Linked DNA regions of Saccharomyces cerevisiae S288C. Changing the gene in region 1 together with any one later gene gives a genetic interaction. Each region holds a gene or a part of one and is shown on either strand. Other genes may lie near its edges. The genes, in order: YFL040W and YPR096C.

Region 1 (4,397 bases):
TTCCCAGGTATTGCCGAAAGAATGCAAAAGGAAATCACCGCTTTGGCTCCATCTTCCATGAAGGTCAAGATCATTGCTCCTCCAGAAAGAAAGTACTCCGTCTGGATTGGTGGTTCTATCTTGGCTTCTTTGACTACCTTCCAACAAATGTGGATCTCAAAACAAGAATACGACGAAAGTGGTCCATCTATCGTTCACCACAAGTGTTTCTAATCTCTGCTTTTGTGCGCGTATGTTTATGTATGTACCTCTCTCTCTATTTCTATTTTTAAACCACCCTCTCAATAAAATAAAAATAATAAAGTATTTTTAAGGAAAAGACGTGTTTAAGCACTGACTTTATCTACTTTTTGTACGTTTTCATTGATATAATGTGTTTTGTCTCTCCCTTTTCTACGAAAATTTCAAAAATTGACCAAAAAAAGGAATATATATACGAAAAACTATTATATTTATATATCATAGTGTTGATAAAAAATGTTTATCCATTGGACCGTGTATCATATGATCATCTCTTCATCGCTTTTCAGTTTTATAGGTTTATGCAATTGCCCTTCTTGGGAGGATCTTGTAGAACCGCCATTAGAATTTGAGTCCGGCGTTTTGATACCCTTTTCCCCATGTAAATTGGTGCCCTCTTTACTCTCAAATTCGAAGAATTTATCAATATCTTCTATGCTCATACCCTTTGTTTCTGGGAACCAAATCAAAACTGAAAGTGATATCAAGAATGTCAAAGATCCAAATATTATAAATGTTGTGCCTTTTAATCTTTCAATCATCACAGGGCATAGAAACGTTAAAATAAAATTGCCCAACCATCCAAACGTTACGCAAATGGCAAATCCCTTAACTTTCACTCGTGAGGGCAACATTTCATTCGTGTAAACCCAAGGTATACTGGAAAGGCTCATGGCAAATATTCCAACAATTAGAAAGCATAAAGTTAGAATCCATCCTCCCACAAACGGGTTTTCTCCAATTGACCAAACTAAACTCCTATTGCCGTCGATGGGCTTGGTGTCTTGACCATACTTCACAAATAATGCGCCGATTGTAATGAGCAACCCACTAATGGGAAAGCCACCCAACAAGGTAATTAGCTTTCTGCTAGTGTAATCAATGAATGTAATCGGTAACAAGCTCAAAACCATGTTGATGAAATATGGAATGGAACTGGTGAATAGTTTTACATTGCCTTCAAGCCCTACAATCTCGCAAATGTATGTAATATAACCAAGGATAATGTTTATACCGCTAAATTGAACCAATAACTGTAAAGTCATTCCAAGAATCAAAGGCTTAAACGAACCCCGAGGTAATTTTTTGGAGAAGTCCAAATCATTAACTCCAATCCAAAAATCTCCTGCTAATTCGATCTTACTCATCTCAGGGACTGCATCCCTTGGCTGGCTTTCATTAAACTTTTTGGCTAAATTGTGCTGAATTTCCTGAGCTTCACTCATCTTCCCATGTAGTACTAGCCAGTGATAAGATTCAGGTAGAGCGTAGCTAGCCATCCAGAACAGTAATCCAGGAATGATTCCTATGCACCACGCTATACGGAACGCAAAATGAGAATCCCATAGACTTAATGCAATGCACAAATAATGCATAACAAGAATTCCAATGGTTAAACACAATTGAATATAGCTCATCGTACTTCCACGCTTGCCGCGGGGGATAACTTCATTTGCGTAGGATGCTACTAAAATTGAAAAGTTCCCAAGGATCATACCCTTGATCATCCGGCAAATTAGTAAACCTAATATATCCCAAATACAAAAGTTCAATAACGTAACAATATTCCATATTATTATTCCCGATTGAAATTGATATATTCTACTGAATCTATCATTCATTATGCAGCAAATAAAACATCCCATGATACCACCCAGGGGGGTGGACCCCATGAGTAAACCTTGTTGTAAAGGAGTTGGATACTTGAAGTACTCATTAAACGTTTTGTTTGTGAGAAAAGTTGCCAATGACGGCACCTCAAGGCCCATTATAAATCCTACTAGTGTCAATATCGCCGTAATTTTCGTAACTTCATAAGTTTTTGTAATTTTGATTTTCGGCATCTTGGGAAGTCTCCAGACAATAGCTTTCATTGCTGTCATTGTGCTTAATAATTTTTAAAGTATAATGTTAGAAACTGTACTTGTTCTTTCTTTTTTCTCTTCTCATATTACACTTATTGAATATTTTGTTTTTTGATTTTCATCCTTTTTTTGTGACGTTCTTGGCTGAGCGTCACAACGTCAGAGCTAAAACAACGAAATAAAAGAGAAAAAAAAAGCAATAGATTTGATTACGTATGAATATTATATAGGGAATGGAATGAACAAAATGAAAATACTCAATAGTAAGCAGTATTTACAGTGCTACATTTTTTTTAGGATTGCAAATCATCAATATGAATATAAACTTCTTTCATTTTTCTTTTATATTTTCTTGTTTAATTAGCCGCGAGAAACCTCTATTTCATTTTCAGCCAAGATTTCCCTTAACGTGTGGTACACCTTCTCATCGTTAGGGATAACCTCGCCAATACCATACTGAGCAATGGAATATAGGCCCCAGACACCGATAATGGTTGAAATAATCAATGCCAAATATCCTTCAGTAGTAAATCCCTTTGGTAGTGGCTCAGGTTGTCTTGGTAATCCTTTTAAGTCAAACCAATCATTCGAATGACCTGCAGCATTACCAACTACCGGAATATCAGCGGCTTTGCATATATCCAGATAGTTCTCATTAAGCTTTTCCCTTTCCTGAAGTAAAACGGGTGCCTCAATAAAGACCGAAGCCAAACCTTGTTGTAAGTGCCAATCTACATGACAATGGAAATACCAGACACCAGGGTTGTCAGCTCTAAATCTCAGGACAACATGTCCACTAGGTTCAAGAACCACTGTATCTCTCACCATCGGCCTCTCAGGGAACGGTTGTAATGGCGCAGATTCGTTATAAGGGACGGTCATTTCATCTTGCTCAGATTCGTCATAAGCTTCATCAACATGGAACCCTGGCGACTTTTGGACTATTTGGAAATTATGACCGTGCAAATGGAATGGATGTCTGCCAGAATCATAATTGTTTAGAACAACCTCTATGATATCATTATGTTTCAATAACTGCGCATTGATATTATCACCATAAATTCTAGGATCTGACGCAAGCTTTCCTGAGGTAAGCAACGTTGTCAAAGTAGGCACCTTTGGTGTGACGTAAGTGATATTATTGAAAAATGCATACTTCACACCATCACCCAAGTTGACCATTCTTACATCCATGACAATTTGGTGGTCATAGTGAGCAAGTAGGTCTCTCTCAATCAGAGGTTCTAGGTAAAAGTCATTCGTGGCGCGGTCCAAGTCACAATCTTCAATGTTCAATGCGCGTGCCTCCGGCAACGAGTGGCCATACCTCATTTGGATAGTTTGGTTGAGTTGTAACTCAGGTGGGACAACATCAAGCATCGTCTCATCCATTATTTGCATCATAGCGTAGTTTCTTGTAGGCATTTTATCTTTAGCTTTAATCAACACACTCATTCTTTGCCCCGCAGAAAGATATATCGAATCAGTAAAGTTTGGCTTTACGTAAACACCGTCCACCTCTACTATACTCATTTCATGATCCTCAAGAATGATATACTGGGATACAAACAGCCCAACGTTCAAGAACCTGAAGAGATACGTTTCACCGGGTGTAAAATCTAAAGTTACATTCATCGTATTATTAAAAAGAATATTTTGAGGAATAGGTTCAGCACCGGTTGGATTATATCTTGACAGAAACTCTTTGGTAACCGTTTTATAATTTTCGTGATAATGGTCCGATAGAGTGATGACTCGTTCATGATCATATTCGAAGGGCTCCTCCGGATCGTGGATGATAAATGCACCCCTCATACCGTCACCGTACTGGGCACCCATGTGTGCATGGTACCAGAACGTTCCTACCTGCTCTGGGACAGTGAAGTTGTACAGGTATGTTTGTCCCGGAACGATGGGACATTGTGTCACCATAGAAGGACCATCCATTTGAAGCTGGTTCCCCAAACTCGTATTCTGGAAAAGACCATGGAAATGTAGAGAAGTAGCAGTATTGTCTTGAAAGCCGTTAGTCAAATAAAGCTCAACACGATCTCCTTTTTCAACATGGATATCTGGAAGTGGCCATTCGCCATTAAAACCAATCATCCTTTTTTCATGCAATCCATCAGGATTGGCAGTTACCCAAGAAGCGGTATAGTTTAACTTATGTGTCTTTGCCAAAGCAACACTAGCGGCCAGTACAGACCACACGAACGAGTAGAACAACATCGTTTCTTGTCTTCCTGTGCTTGATTCTTTCTTCTTTCATTCGGAACTCTTTTTTTACGTCTT
Region 2 (2,940 bases), on another chromosome or scaffold:
AAGCCGCTGTAGAGGAACCGACGGAAGAAGATGTCGATATCCTACTCACAGTAGGAAGAGTAGGAACTAATCTATCACCGTTAAACAGGGTAGGCTCTTGTGATTTTCTGTAATCTCTTGACAATCTATTAGAAGAAGGAAATTTTTCTAGAGCAGGTTTCACAGGAATGAATGGGGCGTGTTTTGAATTTCTCTTTACGTTATCAGACCCGGAGCTAGTAAGCGTGACTCTCTCACCATCGGGCTTGGGAACTTTCTCTATCGAATCTATGTTGTTTTCTGATTTGAAAGGCATTTCTTCAGGATCTTGTCCATTACGGAGGTGTTGTGCAACCAAGATTTCATCATCTTCAGAACCCTTTTCATTGGCTGACCTGAAATTCAAGTCTAACCTACCCATCTTACGCCGTATCCTGCTTAGTTTGCTGTGTTTTTTTGTGGGCTCGCATTCTTTTACATCAAGTTTATCGTCGTCATTATTAGTGTGTTCCTGTATTTCTGCGAGTTGAAGAAAAGGACTTCTATAACTTTCCGACTCTCTTAATTTATCTATGCCTGTTGAAACATTGCTTCCGCCCTTTTTGTTGCCATTTTTATCGTTACTGTGTGATTGAAGGAATTTAAGCTTAATCAACGAAGAAATAGACTGATTCATTATCTGGCAAGTGTGGATTGAAGAGCTGGTCTGGCGGGAAGTTAGCGAAAATGAAGTTACAATGAGTTGAAACAGAGTAAATAATAGGGAGTGGATGCGAGTAACCTTGCGATGTCAAAAGAATTCAAAGTACTATATCTACTGCCTTTCTTTCCACTTGGTGCCTTTTACCCTGAAAGTCTAATGAGCAGGTAGTATAAGAGAAGCAGCTTCTGAAGAAGAGTTCTTTGTACAATAAACCGGCCTTGTGGTGCGAGAGAGGCTTGTAATATAGATTATACTGAAGCCTGTTGAACTTAGCGTCTATTTTCTTTTCGTTCCCTATATCACTTTTCCTAATATTTTCAACATCTCCTTTACGCCAAAAACAAGAAAAAGGACGAGATGGCCTTGGGTTTTTAATGCTTACGCCTGTTTCGCCTCTCATAAGACAGATAAATGTACGTTAACCATTTGACAGTTAACTTTTTAGGCGTGAACAAGGAACGTATTAAAGTGTTTTTCGAATAATTGATCACTTTCTAGCTTTCATTCTTTTTTAAGAGCTACATCCAATTACTGTGCATTGGGCTCTATAAAAAAAGAAAAACGAACCTTACCTTGTGGTCGGAATTGTGTACTGAAATCAGTGGTTGAAGATAATTGTACTAAAGAATCAAAAATAGACAGTCTTCAAATGATTACTCAAGACACTCCTGCTTTAAATCCAACGGAAGAACACTACCTGAAGAGGGAACTGCTTCGATGTCAATTGGATTATGAAATTGGAAAGCTTAACGATCAGTTTGCTTTGAGAAAGTTCGGTTATCCTTTCTCACCAAACGATCCGACAGCTCCACAGCCTATCTCCAATAACGATTCATCACCAGTGCTCGGTGGCAAAGGCCATTTTAGCGTTAATTATCCCATGCTGAGTTATGTTTTGCAAGAATTTATATCCACATTTCCTTTACTTTCAACAAATTTGCTAGTTGATGAAAAATTCTGGCAGAGTAAGGTTCAAGTGTTCTTTGAACATTTCATGAGTCTTGGGTTTAGTGAAAGTTATGACAGGGAGGAAGCTTCAAAAAGGAAGAAAGTTTCCAAAAAGCTATCAAAGGTTATCTTGTTGCTCTTTAACTCCGGTGTTGGCTCTTTTCAAGAGCAAGCGTATTATAATGAGGATAAATTCGTTTTACAGTCAGGCCAAGCGAGAAAACGCTCTAATATTGAGAAATTTGCAATGCCAACTAGAGAAAATTTAGAGAATTTGCTCACTAACGAATCCGTTTTTATTAACGGTTGGGACGTCAATATTATATCCGTGTTCAATAAGAATTCACGGAAATGTACTGAAAGTGTGGATAATGACAAGTCTAGTAAATCTACTCCAACTTCGAGTCCCAAAAGCCATGCTATAAAATCATTTGCTTCCACTTCTAAATGGATGAAGAATGCCTTCAACAACACTATTAACAGTACCATAAATAGTATGCCCGAATCCTCAGCATCTTTATTTTCGAAATTATCCCTTGGCGTGCCTTCAACTAAGAGCAAGCAATCTAGAAAACATCATTATTTCTTGATTAAGATTAAGAAGCAAGATGACGACGACCAAGATAACAGCAATGAAGAGAATAGTAATCTTGATCACCATGCTGGTTATTTCTATGTGACAAGAACATACAGCGACTTCAAAAAACTATCTCATGATTTAAAATCAGAATTTCCGGGGAAGAAATGTCCGCGCTTACCTCATAGAAATAAAAAAGTGACGTCTATGATAACTAAAACCGAAGTGTTACACAATGGGCAAACTAAATCAGCAGCCAGGGAAAAAATCGTCAACACTTTTGACACTGATTTACAATCTGCATCAGAGTCTGATAATTCTTCATTTTTACAGACAACGAATGAATTATCTGCTACAGAAACAGTACTCACAGAAAAAGAAACTGAAACGTTGAGAAAAAATATTCTAAATGAGATCAAGGAAGAAGATAATATTGATGAGGACGAGTATGAGGAAGAAGGTGAAGGTGAAGAAAGTGATTTTGATGAATATAAAGATGCATCCGATTCAAAAATCAATACTTTGGTGGGTGAAAAAATGAGAACTTCATTAAGACAATATTTAAGGACTTTGTGTAAAGATGCAGAGGTTTCTCAAAGCTCATCTATTCGTCGCTTCTTCCTAAGTGGGCCTAATTTAGATATTAAGGACATAAATCCGAAAATAGCAGATGACATTAGAAACAGGGCTCTGATAGATGTAAGTAATTTGGAGAACCAAATACGTTTCCAAC

What was found.
Region 2: mutations in YFL040W (region 1) and YPR096C together harm fitness more than expected from each alone (negative genetic interaction), as found in Saccharomyces cerevisiae (2 studies listed by BioGRID).

What each region holds. Positions count from the first base shown.
Region 1 is NC_001138.5:49,076-53,472, reverse strand, and holds YFL040W (uncharacterized protein), read right to left. Parts: upstream 2,124-4,397; coding exon 501-2,123; downstream 1-500. Other genes in the region: ACT1 (actin), read left to right, coding at 1-213; ferroxidase FET5, read right to left, coding at 2,466-4,334.
Region 2 is NC_001148.4:724,063-727,002, forward strand, and holds YPR096C (uncharacterized protein), read right to left. Parts: upstream 1,083-2,940; coding exon 780-1,082; downstream 1-779. Other genes in the region: Arf family guanine nucleotide exchange factor SYT1, read right to left, coding at 1-655; LEC1 (Lec1p), read left to right, coding at 1,332-2,940.